2 linked regions of the Drosophila melanogaster genome follow. The protein of the gene in region 1 purifies or fractionates together with the protein of each later gene. This does not show direct contact. Each region holds a gene or a part of one and is shown in the gene's direction. Other genes may lie near its edges.

What was found.
Region 2: the proteins of cta (region 1) and ric8a purify together in Drosophila melanogaster (affinity purification with western blotting; one study listed by BioGRID). This does not show direct contact.

What each region holds. Positions count from the first base shown.
Region 1 is NT_033779.5:22,976,228-22,987,337, forward strand, and holds the start of cta (concertina), read left to right. Parts: upstream 1-5,588; 5' UTR 5,589-5,970; coding exon 5,971-6,366; intron 6,367-11,110. UniProt on the Drosophila melanogaster protein: May play a role in a signal transduction pathway used during gastrulation. Required specifically for the ventral furrow and posterior midgut invaginations, where it is necessary for coordinating cell shape changes.
Region 2 is NC_004354.4:9,252,461-9,263,891, forward strand, and holds ric8a (ric8a), read left to right. Parts: upstream 1-3,707; 5' UTR 3,708-3,836; coding exon 3,837-3,917; intron 3,918-3,982; coding exon 3,983-5,623; 3' UTR 5,624-6,742; downstream 6,743-11,431. Other genes in the region: CG17754 (uncharacterized protein), read left to right, coding at 68-1,111, 1,191-1,398, 1,457-1,579, 1,653-1,889, 3,168-3,260; Erk7 (extracellularly regulated kinase 7), read right to left, coding at 8,977-10,552, 11,251-11,431. UniProt on the Drosophila melanogaster protein: Chaperone that specifically binds and folds some, but not all, nascent G alpha proteins prior to G protein heterotrimer formation, promoting their stability and activity.

The sequences.
Region 1 (11,110 bases):
TGTTTTTAAATTTCCCTTCATATTATATGTTTTGCCAATTCTACCGATGTGCCAAACAAGTTATTGTCACGCCTACTCTAACGCGTATAGCTATTTTATGTATTTATTTATTTAACAAATTTAAGTATGCAATACTAAATATATTAAATTTAATGAGTACTAGATAGCTACAGGGTTTTGGTTAATTTTTGGGATATTTTCACAACAGTGGTACTTAAACTTTTCGAAATACTTTGTGTACCAAATAATAGCGATCTAATTGAGTGCAATCGATTGCAGGCGTCGAGAATATAATATGGTCAACGGTGAGCTCATCCCCGCTTAGATGGCATGTTCGTCGCGCCGTTTTCGTCAGTATGTGTTTATGTGTGTATAGTGTAGGCGGATGAAGGTCGCGCATTCCCGTTTATGTAAGTTAATAATTACAGCTTGCTTTAATTTTGTAGATTGCAAGCGACCCGTTATTGTAATTGATCATTTGAAATTAAAACTAACATACAAAATATTTCCCTAATAATTTGAAACTAAAACTAACATACAAAATATTTCCCTAAGTCCCCTAGCAATCAAGTGGAGGCGCCGGAAGCGGCGCAGCGGAGAAGTGTTGATGTGGCACTTTAACCGTTCGTTAACCGCAGCGGAGACTGTGCAGACTTCTGCTCAGCATTTTGGGCACTTTTGTTTACCCAGAATCAATGAAGAAACACAAGATGTGAGAGAATCGCTTGTAGGGCAATAAATGTTTTTGCTTAAGTACTAATTTTCCTGATTCTGTTAATATTGAAGTACTTCCTTGCTTGAAGTCTTAACTAGTTCCTTCCTAAATCTACTTGATAGCTTAGTACCTAACATTGTATTAACCCTATTCGGTCTATATTGTCCAGTCTAGCTTGTTCGTACTTTTCCGGAGCCACGGTAGCTATCCTACCGAAGAACACCTCTAGGGTTCGTTTTTTTGTGACAGAGTGAACAGTGGCTCTTAGATGGCTCTATCGAGATGTTCCAGGCCCAGCTGGCCTGTCAACATGAATTCACTCCATAATAAAACCCGATATCTCTTAAGGCTCTCCTAATGTCTTCTACAGCTTTTAATGTAATTTCCCATAGCCAGTTTTGAAAATTTATCAATTGCCGTGAGCACCAGATGTCGTTCTGTCGAGTAGATGGATATGGATTTGTCCGGGGTATTCTGGCAAGGGAGTTTCTTTTATTTCTGAATGTGTGAGATGTCTGTCATATTCGCGGTCTTACACACCAAACCCTGACTCACGATAGCCGTACCTTTTTTCCACATTTTAGGAAAGTATATTCTTTCGGAGAACTGAGCTTTAATTTCCACAGCATTTCTGTGTGCTCTATTGTGTGTCCTAAGTATGTCTTCCTCCTGTTCGGCTTCGTTAACAAGGTCTTTAACTTTAGTTTGAGAGAATCTAATCTTGAAACCCTGAAAATGGATAGGGTAGAGAATTTGTATTTTCCCCATTATATCCACAACTCGGAGGATATTAATCACGAATGGGTTGAGATATTCCTTCAAATCTGACAAGAGACTAACCGGTGTGAACAATTTATGTAGGGAATGGAATGTTGAATGAGTAATTCTCTGACTCGGACTTCCTGAAGAAAATTTGATTGCACTTATCGGGGCTTCAACGTATCAGCCCATGGCTCGAACTATCGGAGAGGTGCATTGATGAGGCTACTGTGTTTATCTGTTCGACTGTCGGCCCTCTGGACAGAGCGTCGGCTACAATATTTTCTCTGCCCGGTTAATAGAAAATCTCATAGTCATATTCCTCAAGTTATGCTTTCCATCTTTAAGTCCTCGCATTCCCATTCGAACTACTCAGAGAATGGGTCAGAGGCTGATGGTCAGTAAAGATTTTCACCTTTGCTTTACCGTAAAAGTAAATGTTGTGCTTTTTTAGAGCCCACATAATGGATAACATTTCTTTCTCATTTGTGGAATAATTTTCTTCCGTCTCTCAATAAAAATGAGATTGGTCTGTTCTCTTGTGAAAGAACAGCGCCTACTCCGAAATTGGAAGCGTCCGTTGTTAGGTGAAATTCTTTTTTAAAGTCTGGGTAGTGGAGTATTACGTCTGCAGAAACCAAACTGCACTTTAATTTCTTGAAGGCTTCTATTGCTTCACTATTAGGGGAGACCGATTTTTTTAACGATAATGTCTCGGAAACTCGACCATCCTCCCCTCTCAAAAGAATAATTCTAGTGTCTTTTGCAATAAAAAGTTTTCATATTTTTATTTATTTTACAAATTTTTATTTTCTACTTTGTATTATTTTTATGAATTATTTATTTCTCAATGTAATGTCTTCTTTTTGTAAAATTTTTAATCTTTAATTACAGTAGTTATAATAATTTATATTTTACTTCCTTTAATTATTTAGTATATTTAATAAGTCATTTGACTTAATATGATTTATGTATGTTAATGATCCATTTTTATTATTTAAAATGCACATTAGATTCAGTTGTTTTTCAGTATGTTTTTTTTTTTTGTTATATTCCAATTCAATAATTTTAAAAAGCGCGCCATTTCGGGTGGGAAGAAAAGCGCGCCAATTTTTTTTGTTTTTCCTTTTAATTTCTCTTAGCCCGTTTGCTTAAAGTTGGCTATACGCAGAGCTCCTCAATTTTTTGATATTTTCGCTATATAATCGAATTTATATTGAACTAAAGTCGTTTTGTTGCAAAAGTAAAGTACGAAAAAAAATATAAGCGCAAATAGTAATTGTGATAAATAGTGAATAGTGTTTACGTATTTTCGTAATTTGACGCGCTAAAATAACGTGCTGCTGCTTTTCGACAAAGTTTTGAGTTGAAATTTATAAATTGTAAGTGAAAGAAAAAAACATTTTAATGGCCCATTTGAATAATCTTATGGATATGGCCAAGAAAAAAAGAAGATACATAAGTGGGAACAAGTGCAGCTTATCCCACTATCGGAAATCTAGGCGCGATTTCCCCGCTCTTAAATTGTTTAGATTTCCTGAAAGGGATCCAACAATGCTAATAAGATGGGCGGAAAAATGCCAATTTACAGAAGATTTTGTGGCGAGCACTTCATCACTGTTTTCGCTTATAAAAAATTGTCAGATGAGAGACAAATTAGAATTAAACATAAATATAAATGTGTAAACGGTAGCTAATTCGAGCGGCGATTTTAACAAACAAATTTAAAAAGCTTTAAAATTATAATTGTCAGGGCGCAAATTTTTAAAAATTATTTTATTTTATCATATTGCTACGAAATTGGCAAAAAAAAAAAACTACCCTAATATGTACAATGTAAATTCATTTCTTCGATCAGAATTGATTTCGGCCCGAAAATCGTCTTCTAGCACAACACGCACACATATACGCGTTCCCGTCTCTTGTTTTTACTCACACAAGCAAGCAAATTCTATTTTTAGATTTCTTACGTTCTCAGCGTGAGCGAGCGGAAAGAGAGCAATTTTGGCCGTCACCAAAAAAGTGGCTGCATAGTGCCAAACCAATGTATGGCCGTTACGCATCTTGTTATTCTAGTGTCTTTGCTCAAACTGTAGGGCAATAACTTGTACGTTCGGTAGTGGCTTGAACATGATCCAATTTGGCTTAATAATCTGGTAACTGTGCATTAAGAGTGCCCATTCGGAGAGTTCTCTTTTCTTTGAGGTATAGCTTTGGATATCCTTGCAGCTAAGCAGAGTCAAAAGGGCTGATGGTGTAAGTCTCATCTCTTGGGCGGCTTTGTCAGCGAGTTTGTCAGTTGTCAGCGAGTCCGTGGATTCCTTGATGATTGGGAACCCAGAGTAAGGTGACCACAAAAGTGGTTGAGTCGTTGACTTTAGAACCATTGGTATTAATTCAGTTTTTCTTTTTCTTTCTTTTTTTTCAGCTTTGTAGATCTGAAGGCTGTTTGAAACCCCAATGTGCATAGGCAGGGTGAGGTCAAGTTGCTTGATGTAGTCAGCGCAACGTGTTAGAGTGGATATGCATTAAAAATTCAGCTTTTGCTTGAAAATGGCTCCGAAGTCATGGGTTAGCAGGCAGTTGGACGTGGTGTACAGCTTCGAGATTAGCATCAATGTAGTTTCTTCTACGCGGAATTCCGCCAAGTTATCCAACCCATAATATAAACTCTGCCCATTTGATAAGCAAATTTCACACTCCAATCTCAACAGCATTGCCTTTGCCCTTGTTTTTGTCGCCAACACTTAGCCTGCTTTTGTCCTTGTATTGTCGCCAACACTTAGCCTGCCGCAGATTGGAAGACGGTAGTCAATTTTAAATAGCATTAATGCGTGCGTAATCGTAATATCTATGAGAGTCTTAGTTATATGTACGAATATTTAGATGATAGAAATTTAATAATGTGAAATCTAGTTTCCAGTTGTTTTCTTTGAATCTGACAGTGCTGTTTGAAAAGTAGTTTGCAGTCGAAGGTCATCCCCAAATTTTTTAAAAAGTTTACATCATTTATTGTGCGGAGAGATTACAACGTTTTTTCCGTCAAATTATAATAGTTGGCATTTTTCAATGGCAGAGAGGTATTTTCGTGCAATATTTCTAAAAATTTTGTGCTGACTGTATGAATATTTTTTATTTTTGTAAAGTGAGATGTAAATATATTTTTGCCGAGTTACAATGTTATTTATTTCTTCAATTGCAATCATAAATAAAACCGCAGAAATTGGCGAACCTTGCGGAATTACATTGTGTAAAATGTTTGAATTCGATGTGACATTGTTTATTCGAACCCTGGTAGTTCCGCCGTCCAGGGCGGCCATGCTGCACCCCGGGCTATAAGACGGATGCAAAGTACAGTACGCTGTCATCAAGTCTGATCACCGCTTCCGAAATAAAGCCTTCTGCCCAGCTCTCTTAAACAATATTAAGCTTAGCTTTAATTAGTTGACAGCCTTACAAAGAATCTAAACGAATTCCAAAAATCTTAAACACAGGTGGCGAGCACGCAAAACGGAATAAATATTTATTTATTTATTTCTCTATGTAAGCTAATGGCCATGATATTAAGATTAAGATATAAAAATATTTTTTGAATCTTACCTAGCTTTAGTGTATTGGATCAACCTAATATCGAAATAAAACAGAATGCGAATTAAACCAATCAATGCTACTGTATCCATAGCAAAAGTTAAAAATGTTTTTTTTTTTTTAATTTTCATCCCATACAGGTCATCCTATAAGGGAACGTGCCCTCTCCAAAAGTCACTTCATTAAAATAAAGTTTTAATTTTAAAGAAATATTCTACAACCAATTTTTTTATTAATGTTATTGTAACTGATTTGTTTTGTTCCCAATTAAAGAATAATATTTTCTTCTCATTTTCTTTTTATCTTATATGCTTTAAAATTTAAAATTAAATTATAAATTACATTCCTGGTAAACCCGATATAATAATTTGTTTTTAATAATTCTTTACACTAAAGAGCTGGACCTGTTGCTTATAATATTGTCAAATTGGTTCACATATGGAACCAATTTCACCGAAAAACTGATCTGTGGGAACATGGTATAACAAAGTTGACACGAATGTTTATGTTTTATATACAGGCAAAAATTATTATCACCGCTGTTGTTTGCTCCATATATAATTACAATTATATTCCTAAAGAAACGTAAATGTAATGGCTGAGAGTGTCATAACCTAATAACGATCACGTTCAGTGTCTTATTGGTGTGAACTTTATTCCGGAATTTGTGTTGCGTTTAAGTCTGATGCCATGTAGAAATAATGGTTATGGCTTTCAGATGGCAACATCGCCTTTTAATCTAATATGAGGCCTACAATTAGAATATGCAGAATTCAAAAAGTGTTTGTTTATAAATTAAAGCGAAAGCAAGACGATGAGCATCTGCTGTTAGTGTGGGGAGTGTTTGACGTATTGGTGTTCGTGTGTGTATATAGAAAGTGCGAGCATCAGGCGTTGGCTTGCCAGCGATGTCTGGCATTACATTGACCAAATTAACTCAAGAACGAATTTCCATTCCAAACAACAATGTCATCACGAACGGCGTCGAAAACAACATAGATAGTGACACGCTTAGTGGTACTCTGACTCATCTTATGGAAGAGCATCGCACGCGGGTGGGAGCGGTAACTGGACCAGAAGCAGCGACCACGTCTACAGACGGCCTAATATCGAATGGAGCAGAGCGACTGCGACTTCAGGGCAGTCGGCTTCAGACCTCGCGCTTTGCTTGCTTTCGATGTTGCGGAAATATTATCACATATCTAGTAAGGCTGCGTAGTACCCCTGAGGAACTGGAGCAGCGCTACAAGTCCAAAGAGATTGATAAGTTCCTGGAAAAAGAAAAACACACCTTTCGACGTCAGGTAAGGTGATTTAGGGATATCGATTTCTAACCCTTGCTGTTGGTTATTTTATTTAAATGTTAACAACGAAGTAAAGGAGATATTCGACAAATTAAAGTCTATGTACAATGGCGGAAAAATTATAATGTGTTTAAAATGTAATTTCTGTACAATGTTATAAGCATATATTTAATTTAAAAAGTTACGTTTTTTTGCTAACAATTCTAGAATTATACGTATGTGTTCTTAATTAACAGGACTAGGCAAGTCGGTCGAGTAGTATATATGTACATACATACATACATACATACAACAAGCGCTATATATTTGTAACCGAAAAATATAAAAACAAGAGAAATCCTATAGTTGTGAGCTCCGCAAGTATAAGATACACGCTACTTAGGTAATGGAAGACTTCCTACTTCTTGAGGCCCGTCCCGTCTCGAGCACGAAACCTAGTCCCAAAAAAAGCCCGGGGCCCTGCCCAAGCTAAACACGAACAAATTAAAAAATAAAAACAATGCAATTTTTTTTAATTTAAAGTATGTCGGTTTTCTTATATTTATATTTCTTATATTTTGTAAACAAAGTTGATTGCAAAAAACTTAATATTTAGTACAGTTTTGGTGTTTTAAACATAATTTATGACAAGTTTTTATTTAAAAATATTTTTTTTTTTAAATTAGAACATTTTAAACGTGTACATCGCTCATTTAATACAATTCCAGAGGTAGAAAATAATCTTTTGCTATTCGCTGAGCTTGCCGGAATGGCAATTCAATAACTTGAGTTCACTACATTTCCAAAATTCTAACACATTTTGGTCTGAAGTAGCTGCACAGCCATTTAAATATTTTTCTATTTCAATATCATAAGAATTTAGTTGTAACTAAGTTTTTTTGAAAAATTTTTAATCCTGAAATTCTGCAAACAGTCCTAACCCCTTTTTATCTGGGCTTGCAGTTCTTAATCCTATAAAACTCCTCATCACTTTGCATTTCTGAAAGCATTGCTTTGACAGTTACAATTACATTCTCCTTAACTTTTGGCGATAAGCAACACATTTCCTTAACGGGAGAATTTAAGAAGAGTCCAACATAATGTGCCGTTTATGGTGCACATCTTTTATGTAAAGAATTTAACGTATTATTTTTCAGCTGAATTATGGTTTCAGAATCGAGCATTTCACTGGCGCACATCTTTAATACTTTCTCCGATCACAAACAAAATAGATTTATCGATATTAGAATCCAAACTGTATTCTTCCATAATTTCCTTAACGTTATTGAGGATGTTCTCGCCTGTTAGATTGTGACAAACAAGTTTAACTTTCGGTTCTGCCTGCGGGCTTTTTTCTTAGGGCACGAAAGACGAATTTGAGGCCCGAACCCAATTTTTTTGGCAAAGGCCCGCGGGCCTTGAAATAAAGCCCGGCCCGCGCTGCATCATCATTTAAAAAACATTATAATGGTCCACATTACAAAATTTTTGCCAGGCACAGTCTATCAAATACTTTTGCAAAACGGACTTAATTGTTATAGGCATTTTTTAAAATAAATCTCCATTCAAGAACAACATTTTGTTTTTTATAAGCATGCAGAGTTTTTTTCAATGACTTGTTCAAGGGTAATAGTTTCTTGTTCACAGAAAGGGTAAGGAGTTTACTTTGGGTGAGTCAGGGAATGTTTTTAAATGTCTTGTTTTTGAAAAAACAATTGAAGATATTTCATGGAATTTCTTCACCGGCCCCAACCAGGTCTAATTTTCTACTTTGACGTGTTAGTCGATTTTTCTCGGAAACGAACAAGGTTTTAGACCGATAATTCGGTTATGAGCATAACACAAACTTTTGCACATATATTTTGTTAATCCATTCATAAAACAAATTAACAATATAAATCTTGCTCCATCTCTTATATTTCGTGCAATGGAAAGAAGAGGTTTGGACAAGAGGCTAGTTTGATTAGAAACGGTCGGACAAGCATGAATATTTCGATTCGCTTGTTCATATTGATGAATAATATACATATGTACACTGCGCCTCACCAGGTTAGCGCACCTTGAGTAAAAATCTTTGATGTGAGACATTTAGAAAACTGCTTAAGCGAAAGTTTTTGAAATTTTTTCCCTTAAAAGTTGTAAAATTTCATAAATGAAAAGTTTATATGGGATGCAGTTTGTTGTTTATAGATTTTTGTTGAAATAAAAAAGAAAAACAAAAACACCAGAAAAAAAACATCAGGATAGCGCCCCTATGACAATTTAGGTTTTTTTTTATTAATTTCGAAAAAAGTTAGATGATTATCACTTAAATGTTTAAAATCTAATATTTTTAAAGAAAACTAATAATTAGTTGCTTCTCCTTTGTTTTCAAGGACTTCACACATTCGTCTGGGAAGTGAATCATATATTTTTTCTAGGTAATCCAAAGTAATCGTAGACCAACCGAACTTTTTTCCGGTGATCGATTTCTCTTGAGTGACATATTGCTTACCACCCTCGTATACCTTCCCAGCCAACCATCCCCACACGTTTTCTATTGTATTAAGGTCCTGGGAGTATAGTGGCCATTCCATAACTTTTACATTATCGCTTCGAATCCATGTTTTTACCGAACGTGTGGACATTGTCGTGCTGAAAATGCCATTCTAGATTTCCAAAAACGTTCTTAAAGTAGGGAAATGCAGTTTTTAATACACACTTATAATCTTTCGTGTTTATTTTTGGTGTTAAAAACTTCCAATCACAGGGGACATAATAGGATACTGCGCCCCATACCATGACACCTTCAACCCGACTGTGAATAAGATCCAAAATGTGCTCCTCTTTACGCAAATCATGATAGTAATGACAATTGCCGTCTGGTTCCTCCAAATTAAATTTCATCTCGTCCGAAAATTCGACATAATGCCACTCCTTAGACCAGGTCATGTGAGCTCGAGCAAAACTCAGGCGTGCTTTTTTCGCAACTTATTAAGAGTTGTTTTTTTTTTTTGCAGTTTTTCGTGTTTTAAATGATAAGCTTTCTTAATCACCCTTTGAATTAACGATTTCAACTGCTTTTCACCACTTTTTTTTCGAATTTTGGCGGAGGACTCGTGGGAATTGCAATGTATTCGACATGGACATGCGATCTGCCGCGTTAAAGACAAGGTTATTGCCGCTTTTATAGTTCTTTCCATAAGTTTGCTCGTTTTTAATAAAATTGTCTACAGTTTTGAGATGTCTGTCGGTTTTTTCTGCAATTTTATGAAAAGGCAGCCCGCATTCAAAGAAAGCTATGATTTCGAATTTTTCCTGCAAGGATAACAGCGTCCCTCTTCTTATTTTTTCGCTAAATTAGAGCAAATTTTTCAACTTAACAGCATACAACATTGTCTCTTTGTTGACCTACCTTTCAAATTATGGAAGTTATTCAAAAGTAAAACAAAGCAGAATTAGAAAGATAACGGTTCTTCTCAGGACCTCTTTTTTATACTCAAAGAGAGAGGGAGTATCAGTAAACAAAAAACAATAACATTGATATATTTTCGTGCAATGGCTAAATACAGAACATAAAAAGAAACGGAGCCATGCAGGGGCGCTAATCTGATGACGCGCAGTGTATATACTTTATATCAAATAATTATGGTAGAAAATGTAACCTGCGTTTAAACAAATCAAAAAACCCTCTCCAATGATATAAGAAGTATGTATTAATCGCTTTGTTTAAATCTAGCCAAAACCTACAGCTTGCCTAAACAGAAGCTGGCTTCGGAAAAATCAAATTTGTGAAATTTTAATGCTGAAATCGTTTGCCCACCAATTTTTTTTGCCCACGTCCAGTTTTCGAATTTGAAATTTCGATAAGGTTTAAAAATGTTCGAAAATCAAAAAGTTGACTTTTTCACAATCACAATAACATCGTTTGCCCACCATTTAGAATTTTGAAAAAAGCTGTACTTTAGAAAATACATATAAAGGCAATATCGGTATACTCAGAGAATACGTTTGCCAAACTCATAAATTAAATATCAGCATTAAAAAACGTTTGCCAAACCATAAAAAAAATGTAGGCGATCATCTGCAAGACAATATATGCATAACTGTATTGTGAATAATTAATAATAATAACAACATAAAAATATAATAATTAAATACAAAGATGGAAATATGTACCTATGTATGGAAATATGCTTCTATACCTTTCGTCGTTTGCTTTTCTGCTTACTCTTACTTTCGCAGAGTACGAAAATGTACATACATACAAAATGGGCACTTTAGTTCCAGCAGCAACTCACTCAAAGGATACTTTTCCATATACACCTGTGTTCAATGAAATAGCAGCGCAAGAGAAACTAATAAATACACAGGTATTTTCCCATGTCCTTTTCCGGAATCGACTTTTTATTCCACTTATTTTTGTAAAATGGAATGTGTAGATAGAAAAAAAAAGAAAATCCCGTTTGTTTTTCATGTTTTACTTATTTTCTTTACATTCTTGAGCAAAATTTACAACTTTGTTCATTATTGGAATAGCAGTTTCAGTTTTTGACCTACGTAAAGTCAAGAATTTAAGCATATATTCTAAACAGAGATTTTGGTTACGTTAATTTGAATATTTAAAAGGGCAATAAATTAAAGAAAATATATAAAAACAATTCTATTTTAGTGTGTAGAGGACAGCACTGCTCCCAAGAGAATAGAATTTTAATTAGTAAGCTAAGAAAGGAAGGGAAACATAAATAAATTCGAAAAATCTTTGATTCCAATTCCATTAAATATG
Region 2 (11,431 bases), on another chromosome or scaffold:
ATATTTTTTTTCGGATTAACTCTTGCGAAAGTGTCCACAATTCAAGGATTTCACTTGGCTCTTTCAGGGTGCCCGCCCACCGCCTGGTGCTATCGGCGTCGAGCGCCTACTTCTCGGCCATGTTCACGGGATCGCTGCGCGAGACCAAGGAACAGGAGGTGACCCTCGGTGAAGTGCACGGCGATGCACTGCATCTGCTGGTCCAGTACTGCTACACCGGGTTCATTGAGATGCGCGAGGACACCGTGGAGACGCTGCTGGCCACCGCCTGTCTGCTGCAGCTGAATGCCGTGGTGACCGCCTGCTGCAACTTCCTGGCCCGCCAGCTCCATCCATCCAACTGCCTTGGGTTCGCCTTCTTTGCGGAGCAACAGAGCTGCACCACGCTGCTGCGTCTGGCGCAGGCCTACACCTGCCAGTACTTTATGCAGGTGTGCCAGAATCAGGAGTTCTTCCAGCTGAACGCCGATCAGTTGGGCAAGCTGCTTAGCAGCGATGATCTCAATGTGCCCTCGGAGCAGGATGTCTTTCACAGTCTGATGTCGTGGGTGCGCCACGATTCCGCTGCCCGTGAGCAGCACATACCGGAGCTGTTGGCCCTGGTGCGACTGCCCCTACTGCAGCCAGCGTTTATCATGGACCACGTGGAGAACGTTTGCAATGCCAACGAGTGCCAGCAGCTGGTTATGGAGGCATTCAAGTGGCACCTGATGCCCGAGCGCCGATCCCGGATAGCCACCGAGCGAACAACGCCGCGCAAATCCACGGTGGGTCGTCTCCTGGCCGTCGGCGGCATGGATGCCCACAAGGGCGCCATCAGCATCGAGAGCTACTGCCCGCGTTTGGACAAGTGGACACCGTGGAAGCACATGACCGGTCGTCGACTGCAATTCGGCGCTGCTGTCATGGAGGATAAACTGATCCTAGTGGGCGGACGTGATGGGCTAAAGACCCTGAACACCGTAGAGAGTTTGGACCTGAATACAATGGCCTGGGCACCGCTCAATGCCATGGCCACACCCCGTCATGGACTGGGCGTGGCGGTGCTGGAGGGTCCACTCTATGCGGTGGGCGGTCACGACGGCTGGAGCTACCTGAACACCGTGGAGAGGTGAGAGGGCAATGAATTTGATGAATTGATGGATATGTACATATATGTATAATTGTGCAACTGAGTAAACATTTTCCAGATGGGATCCCATAGCGCGCACTTGGAGCTATGTGGCACCCATGTCCTCGATGCGTTCCACCGCCGGCGTGGCTGTCCTGGGCGGTCGCCTGTATGCGGTGGGCGGACGTGATGGTTCCGTCTGTCATCGCTCCATCGAGTGCTACGATCCGCACACGAACAAATGGAGCCTACTGGCGCCGATGAACAGGAGACGCGGCGGCGTTGGCGTGAGTATCCTCTAAGCATATCCTTAGTGGTCTTTCTCTTAATTACCTGCCCTACCAGGTGACGGTGGCCAATGGTTTCCTGTACGCCTTGGGTGGCCACGACTGTCCGGCCAGCAATCCAATGGTCTGCCGCACGGAGACGGTGGAGCGCTACGACCCAGCCACCGATACCTGGACTCTGGTAAGCTGGGATTGGGTTATGTGGTTCCCTCAACCTCATCCTCACTTCTAATCGATGTCATCTCATTCCACAGATCTGCTCACTGGCTTTGGGCCGGGACGCGATCGGCTGTGCCCTGCTGGGCGATCGCCTGATCGTCGTCGGCGGCTACGATGGCAATCATGCGCTGAAGAGCGTCGAGGAGTACGACCCGGTGCGCAATGGATGGAACGAGCTGGCGCCCATGGCTTTCGCAAGGGCCGGCGCCTGTGTGGTGGCGATTCCGAATGTCATACCGCCGGCGGCTCAACAGCCGCCGCCCAGTGCTACAGTTTAGTCCAAACCCAATCCACTTTCGGTTGCAGTGTAGGCTCGTTAATTGCATCGCTTATTTCGGATAGAAGGGCCAGATGTTTGGAAACGATTTGCATTTAGCACCCAGCCAAATTTATACGCGAAATTCCTATTAGATACCCATTATTTGGGTAGAGCTTTATAAATTGCATTTAATGTTAGTAAATTTGTCAAGATGTTTCGCTCGGCAGTTAATGCTGCACACAAACTGTAGATTTTATACCTTTCTTGCATTAATCTTAAAAATCCAAACATTCCACGTTTACAAAAGATATTTTCCCAAATTTACCAGTTCATGTAAAGCATTTCCATTTACTTGTAGATATTAAGGAACTTTAGGAGGCAATAATCAAAAGTAGTTTTATAAGTAGCGTGGTCTGAAAGCGATGCACTTAGCGAGAGAGCACTGCACCCGTTCTATAGTAGTTGTTGTTACTGTTGCTGTGAGCTGCTCGTGGTTGTTGCTCGTGTTTCCTAACCCGGCAAGTTTGAAACTGCAGCTCACCTTCGCCTCGCCTCGCTCTCGTCTGTGTTCTGACATGATTCCCTGTGGTATGGCATACACCCAGAACTCACCCACTTTCCGCACCGCACACCCCAACCCAGTATTTTCCCCATAACTCTGCTCTTTTCGGCTTGAATCTAAAAATAAGTAAATCAAAAAAAAAATAAAAAAATCAGTGAAATCTCATAGGATTTAAGAAGTGCATGTTGCGAGGCTTCCAGTTCCAATCTAAAATCGATCCCTAGCTGTAATTAACCAACGTATTTTACACGATACCCTAGTTTCTAAAAATTTTCCATCCCACTCACACCCCATGGTGTCGTACGCTTCACACACTGCACGCCATCTCGCTCGCACCGGTGACGGGCCCACATTCCATATGCATAAATCGTATACACATACTTATATCCTGACAAGACTGCGCCAAGCCAAAATTCCAAAAACCAAAATTGCTCATTTTTGCATGTGAAGTGTGCGAAACCATTAGAAAAACAAAACAAACAAAATCAAAAAAAAAAAAAACGAACGAAAACAATCAAAAAGACAACTGCAATTGCTTAGTTTTAGTTAGTAAATACTTGTCCCATGGAATGATTATATTTCGACTTTTGCATCGTCATTTTGTACCGATATTATTCTTAGTAAATACTAGATGTGTGTGTGCGTACAGCGAGCATTTATTTCTAATTGTTTATTATGTTTTTATTTCTTTCTTTTCCCTTTCCCTTCGATTGCATTTAAAAATTAAAGAAAAAGAAGAAGTGGAAGCCAGTGAGATTGGATCCAATCTGCTATAATAGGCGTCCCAGATGTGTCGAGTTTGTCGACTACTATAACATGTAAATGCTAGACAGACAAGACAACAAACAAAGCAAACTATAAACATTTAAGCCAAGCTAAAAGAAAAAACACAAGAAAACTTGTCAAAAAAAAAAAAAAACAATCCAAATATTACGTATTATTTTATATTTACACATATATATATTTTTACACAAAACATACACTGCGAAATGTATACACTGGATATGTATTTTTTGTAATAAAATCGAAAATTAAACGGTTATTCGCTGCATTTGAAAAACCGAACATATAAAATAATACTATTTTGTCGGTTAAGCGGGGATTGCTCTTTTAAATGGGTAACTTCAAGTTTCTTGATTGTATTTAAATATTTGAAATAATATATTTAAATTATCTAACTTTCTGATTGGAATACGATTTTTTTTAGAATATTAGTGGTAAGGGCGTACCGATAGTTGGCATTCGATGGTTGAGATATCTGGCAACGCCCCGTAGTATATTAGATTAGAACGGCAAAGGTGCGGTCACACTGGCGGAAATTATAAAAATTAATTAAATTAACTTAAACGACCTAAAAAGCGAACTCAACGACAGCTTTGAACGGCCACCGTTGGCGACATGGAAACGGAGCACCTGAAACGACTAGAGGCCAAGGAGGCGGACCACATTCCCGCCATCCTGGACGAATTCAACACAAAGGTGAGCACTGCCAGCGGTTTCTCCCGAAGATTCAACCAGATTATATACCCTTCCTTCTGCCGTAGAATGCGGATCTGCTGGTCTTCGACAGTTTCCGCACAGACAACCTGTGGCACGAACTGTGGCTGGCCATCTTCGGCATATTGGACGACCAGCGGCTTAGTCATCTGCATACGCAGTGCCTGAACACGGTGAGGATTCTAACGCGTGACGAGTTCAGCCTGCAGACGAACTACATCGAACAGGAGGTTAACACCCTGCTGAAGCTGGCTAGGATTGAGGCCGGCTCACTAAAGCTGCCAGCCACGCCGGACGAGCTTAAACAGGAGGAACGCGAGGAGCCCCAGCTGGAGCCCAGCCAGGCCCAATCGGAGGTGATTGCCGAAGCACTTAAGTGTCTGTGCAACTTGGTCTACCAGAGCTCCGACTGCAGGCGCCAGTGCCTGCGGCAACACTGCCTGGATGCAATCCTGAAGAGGGTGGCGTCCTCGATGCGACATCCCTGTGCGTTGGAGTACTACGACATGAAGCTCCTCTTCTTGCTCACTGCATTAGAGCCAGCGGCGCGCTCTCGCCTCCAAATCGATCTGAATGGCCTCACCTACATGACTAAGTGGCTGGACGACAAGCTGGGCGAAGACTCAGTTGGCGAGGAGCAGCTGAACATCATCTGCGAACTGCTCAAGGTGATGTTCAACGTGACCAGTGCTCCGGACAAGAGCCCCAACGAATACGAAATCCAGAGCTTGCATTTGACGGGAGTGCTGAGGGAGCTACTCCTGCGTTTCGGCGACTTGGCCACAGAAAAGGATCGCGCCGTCGTCACACACGCCATCAATCTGCTGACAAACATCTCCGGCAGCTGCCTGACAGAACTCACCCTGCGTTGCTCCAATGCCGAGTTGGAGTCGCACAAGGAAAGAGAGCAGGACAACGAGAAGGAAAAAGATACAGAAGCTGGAGCGGGAGCCAAACCCCGTGAGTGCTGCTCGCAGTGCTTCGAAAAGCGCAATGTTCGGAGTCTGGACGTGCTACTCCGCTACCTAAGGCAATCTCTGGCCCAACAGGAGGCCGAGGCTAGCTCGCATGAGTTGCTTTCCCCAGTGCTGACCGTGCTGGTGAAATGTGCGCGCAGCGATCGAGTTATGCGTCACTATCTACGCCAGGAGATTCTGCCGCCGCTGCGGGACGTTAGTCAACGACCTGAGGTTGGTCAGGAGCTGCGCAATCATCTGTGTCGGTTCCTTACACTGCCCGCGATGATCCTACGAGATCTGTCCGCCGAACTGCTGTTCGTACTGTGCAAAGAAAATGTCGGCAGGATGATCAAATATACGGGCTATGGCAACGCAGCCGGGCTCTTTGCCAAGCGGGGTATACTCGACTGCCGGCGAGTGGAGGGCACCGACTACTCCTCCGACAGCGAGGACAGCGACACCGAGGAGTACAAGCAGCAGCAGCAGGGCATCAATCCAGTCCTTGGCTGCGTAGAGCCGCGCAGCAAGTCGCATCTGGACGACATAAGCGAAGAGCAGAAGGAATACGAGGCTATGCAGCTGGTCAATCTCATCGAACAGCTGCGTCAGGGCGGGATCGTAAAGCCGGCGATGATAGACAAGGACGGGCGCCCGCAGCCGCTGGAACACATCCTTCAGCTGCAGGAGGAGCTGCCGCAGCAGCAGCTCGACCAGAAGCGGAAAACCTAAGCCACAAATGTATTGCGGGATCTGCTATGGCACAACTTCCAAATAGCTACCAAAAAATCACCTTAAACTCTGCATTTATTCCATAAGTTTACTGTCGAATGTAGCTTCGAATGTGTTCAAAAAGCAGATTTTTTTTTTTACATAGTTTATATATTTTATACCACATATTCGAGAACATCTCATTATAACCTACAATTTGTTAACCAAAAATTATCCAATCTGGCTTTGATTTCAGTGATCAGCTTTTGTCTAAATGCCATTATTATTAGTGTTAGCTAAAATAATTATAATCTATCCAATTAGCTTCAATTCGTAGATAAGTTCGGTCTCCCAACTTTTACAGAATTTCTTTAACCATTAACCATGTAGAACGTTGTACTTATTAAGTTATTACGCACTTCGTTGTTATTTTGTTGTCCCGTGAATTGTTCGCACTTTTAAAGTTGATACCATGGCATCCCATAACGTACGGCTTGAAAAAAATAACTAAATGCAAAACAATCGTTGGGGTCTTCCAATTTCAGGAAGTAGGGAGCAGATGAACATCAAATCTGAATTCATTTAAATACACGCCCACACTATAGGACAACTAGGACGACTTTTCATTTTAATAGTTAAGTGCATGTATGTATTATATTTATAAAATTCCAATTATACACTTAGGATCTAGGAATGAAAGCTCTTATTCCGATTCTCAGTTTTCTATTACAAATGATGTTGCATGTGTGTAACACTAACTATAGCTCTAGAATCGAACTAAACGAACTACAAAGTCTATCTATGACAGACGGCAGTGAGGAGCACTTGAAGAGCCATCAAGTTGTGGATGTCGACACGGCCATGCAACCAACTATCCCATCCGCACATTGTTCATGTCCATGTCTAATCTATGTTGTAAATTCCGCATAATAGGGTAAAGGAATAATTCCAAAACTTTCTAAAAGTTACGTGTCTTTGATCTATATACAAGAAATCCTATCTAGAGCTTTATTGTGTTCAATTTGCTATAGCGATGATACTAGTAGATCAACTTATATACATCAAAACATAGTAATATTTTTTGTGCGAGTCTAAATGTACGGCTATCCTAAGCTTAACAATAAAATAAATCAATCAAGGTCATGCTATAATAATCAAGCCACATATTTTCCGATTCATAATGCTTTGAAACTAAATTTTAATTATTAATATTGAATCAGAGTTATAAGGATCGACTCCTCTCCGGCGAGGAGTCCGCCTCTTGAATGTCGCCCTCCATGGGCCTCATGTGATCGAAGCGAGCAATGTAGCTGGGTTTGTGGTGGCGATGGCGGCACGCCTTGTGGCAGTCATTTGGGATTTCTTCTTGGTCATTCTGTTCCAATTTTCGGCGATACTTTTCCTCCTCCCTGCGCTCATCCAACCAAAACAGCTCGTATATGCGGTCGTGCCGCTGGAGTTCATTCGCTCGCTCCAGATCTTTTTCCTTCTGCTTCGGGGGGGTGTATTTGAGAAAGTAGTCGGCATACTTGCTGTCGTTGTCCCGCCCCGGGGAATGCACCGGCTCCGATCCGATCAGCTTTATCGAGTCATTCTGCTGATCCTTCGACAACGATTCATCCGCCTTCTTTTCAGTATGCCCACACACCTTTTCTTCTATCTTCAAGGGTTCGCTCTCCGCCTCAATGCGGCGGCACTGGTTCTCCTTTAGCTTGAGCTCCCGGTTAATCTGCCGCCTTTCCTCCCTCTGCAAAATCTCCATCTGCTGGCGATGCTCCGCTTCTGAGGGAAACCTATCCCTTGTGAAGTAGAACATGCTATGGTGTCTCTCTTTGGGTTTCTTCTCTTGGCACGTCTTGTTTGAGTAGCGATTCTTTGGAATCATACAAGAGTCCCATTGTATCATCCTTGAAGGGCTATCTTTGATGTTGTCCTTCTGGGTCTGAATCGCAGTTTGAACATGGGCCTTCGCTTCGGTATGGAATTTACGTTGAGACTGTGCCTGCGATTGCACTTTGCTTTTCTTCTGGCGAGCCGCGGCTGCCGCGGCCGCCACGGCAGCCAATTCCCGTTGGATCGCCGCATTTTTGTGTTGGCATATGTGCACAGATTTTCGCTGTGCAGCAGGAGCAGTAGCAGCAGCAGCAGGAGGAGCTGCAGCTGGAGGAGCAGAAGCAATAGAGGCTTTCTTAACTGCAGACTCCATGTGGTTGATCTCCTTCGACTGTGCCTTATGTGCAGAGCCCAGCAGCTTAATGTTCTTGCGCGACTGGGTCACCTCGACGGAAGATGGCTCCTTCTTCCATTCCGCCGGGCTCGTGGTCGATTGTTTGGCACTCATTGCAATGTGGTGGGATTTGGATGAGTTGAAAATTTGTGATTCGGCAGGCAGTTATGTGAATTATGTTAATATGTATGGTTGGGCTGGGTTTAGTGGGTCTGCTGTCATGGAACTAATATTACACTTAACTAAAGGCACACTTAGAATTTTGAATATTCACATTCTCATACCACACAGACAGGAATTTTTAAAACTATTGTGATTAAATGAAATTTGTGGTTCGAAATGAAGAATACTGACTGAGATACCGCCTCCAAATCGATCTAAATGGCCTCACCTACATGACCAAGTAGCTGGACGACAAGCTGGGCGAAGACTCCGTTAGCGAGGAGCAGCTGAACATCATCTGCGAGCTGCTCCTGCGTTTCGGCGACTTGGCCACAGAAAAGGATCGCGCCGTCGTCACACACGCCATCAATCTGCTGACAAACATCTCCGGCAGCTGCCTGACAGAACTCACCCTGCGTTGCTCCAATGCCGAGTTGGAGTCGCACAAGGAAAGAGAGCTGGACAACGAGAAGGAAAAAGATACAGAAGCTGGAGCGGGAGCCAAACCCCGTGAGTGCTGCTCGCAGTGCTTCGAAAAGCGCAATGTTCGGAGTCTGGACGTGCTACTCCGCTACCTAAGGCAATCTCTGGCCCAACAGGAGGCCGAGGCTAGCTCGCATGAGTTGCTTTCCCCAGTGCTGACCGTGCTGGTGAAATGTGCGCGCAGCGATCGAGTTATGCGTCACTATCTACGCCAGGAGATTCTGCCGCCGCTGCGGGACGTTAGTCAACGACCTGAGGTTGGTCAGGAGCTGCGCAATCATCAGTGCCGGTTCCTTATACTCAAGGCAATCTGGCACAAAAATATGGATCACTGCGGGTTTTTGTACGAAAAAACGTTCCGTCTTTATAAACCCAATAGAAGTTACAATATAAAATAGATAGAAAAGATCTACGACAAAAAGAATCTTCACTCATTGCATTCGCGTTTCAAAATATATGTATGTATATTGTGTCAAGATTGGGACAAATATTCTAGGACATATCAGTTGCTCTCCGGCAAGGAGTCCGCCTCCTGAATGTCGTCCTCCGTGGGCCTCATGTGATCGTAGGGAGCATGGTGGTTGGGTTTGTGGTGGCGATGGCGGCACGCCTTGTGGTGGTGAACTGGGAGTTCTTCTTGGTCATTCTGTGCCAACTTGCGGCGATATTTTTCCTCCTGCCTGCGATCATTCAGCCAAAACAACCCGTATATGCGGTCGTGCTCCCGCTGGAGTCCATTCGCTCGCTCAAGATCATTCCAATTCTGCTGTGGGGTGGTGTATTTGAGAAAGTAGTCGGCATACGTGGTGTAGTTGTCCCGCCCCGGGGAATGCTCCGATCCGGAATCGCGTCCCCCACTGTCCGGTGCGGGGTTGAGTTCTTTCCCTATTTCCTTATATGCTGTATAGTACTTAGCTCTGTAGGCGTGGTCCAGGTCGAGATTATCGTACTCATTGGTCTCGTCGCGGGCCAAGAACTCTTGCACCTGGCGCTGGCGCTCCTTTTCTTGCTCCTGGCGAAAGATCTCGTAGTTTTGGGATCCGGGACCACCAATGCCCTCCGGCAGGGCTCTTCTGTCATCCTCATCCTTCTCATCACTCTCCTTTGACCGCTGCAGCTTTTTCAAGTGGGTGCTAACGTTCGCATAGTTAAGCACATCCGCATTCAACTCGACAAAGTCCACCAACTCCTCCGTGCACTTCTCCATCTCTAGCTCCAGGTGATGGATCCGTTCGCGGACGCATGTGCCAAAGGTGATCGAATCCTTCTGCTGATCCTTGGACAACGATTCATCCGCCTTCTTTTCAGTATGCTCACACACCTTTTGTTCTATCACCTTGATCGTCTTGGACTCCTGTTCAGTTGTCTCCTTCAAGGGTTCGCTCTCCGCCTCAATGCGGCGGCGGTAGCTCTCCTTCAGCTGGAGCTCCCGTTTCATCTGTCGCTGGTACGCCCTTTCCTCCCTCTGCTGGCGATGCTCCGTTTCTGAGGGAAACGTATCCCTTGTGATGCAGGACATGCTATGGTGTTTCTTTTTATATTTCTTCTCTTGGCACATCTTGTTTGAGTAGCGATTCTTTGGAATAGGCGCTTTAGCTTCCGTCAGGCTCTGGGACTCTTGTATCATCCTCGGAGGGCTATCTTTGATGTTGTCCTTCTGGGTCTGAATCGCAGTTTGAACATGGGCCTTCGCTTCGGTATGGAATTTACCTTGAGACTGTGCCTGCGATTGCCAGCTGCTTTTCTTCCGGCGAGCCACGGCTGCCGCGGCCGCCACGGCAGCCAATTCCCGTTGGACCGCCGCATTGTTGTGTTGGCATTTGGGGACAGATTTATCACCAGATTTCCGCGGTACAGCAGGAGCAGTAGCAGCAGGAGCAGGAGGAGCTGCAGCAGGAGGAGCAGAAGCAATAGAGACTTGCGTAATTGCAGACTCCATGTGGTTGATCTCCTTCGACTGTGCCTTATGTGCAGAGCCCAGCAGCTTAATGTTCTTGCGCGACTGGGTCACCTCGACGGAAGATGGCTCCTTCTTCCTTTCCGCCGGGCTCGTGGTCGGTTGCTTGGCACTTGTTGTCCTGCGGGAGGGAATTGGATGAGTTGAACACTGGTGATTCGCCAAAATATGTGTGGTTGGGCTGGGTTAAGTGGGGCTGCTCTCATGTTACTAATATTACACTTAACTAAAGACACACTTAGAATATTGAATATTCACATCCTCATACCACACAGACAGGAATATGTTGTTAACCTAATAACAATAATATTAATATTATATGTTTCTTAAGACATATTTACTGCTAGTTTATTGTATTTTCAATTTAAACTATTGTGATAAAATAAAATTTGTGGTTTGAAATGATGAAAACTGACTGAGATGCACATAAATGTGGTTCACAAAGAAAGAGGTCCTTGGACATGAAGAATTTTTAGAGGATGATAACTATTAAGCTTAGTATTCTATTGACTATGGCCCTTTTTGAGGCGCATGCGATGTGCCTTTCGGTGCATGGAACGATGCAGTCGCTCCTTCACTGGGCGCTGAACTGTTATGGATTCCACGGATTCCTTCCGCTCCTTGAATGTCTCCTGCTGTAGGTGATTGGATGTGCTGGTGACTTTGGTGATGGCTCGATGCAATCTGAAAGAGGGGACGAGCAGCTAGAATAGCTCCTCCACTAGCCATCGCCCCACAAACGACTAAACCAGCCCTCTACCGCTTCCCCCCAACAACCGTCCCAGCCCAAGCCCCCAAAGATCCCCGAGAGCAGCTCACCTGGCTTGCTTCGTGACTCGCACGGGTTTTGGCAACTCGTCCCGATTGCTGGATGGCGTGGAATTGCTGACCGTGCGGTTACTGCAACTCGTCTCCCGGTCAATCAGTTCATACAGACTGTTGCGATACTGGTCCACGTCGTAGCGCACATGATCTTTCAGCGGCGGCACGACGTCCATGT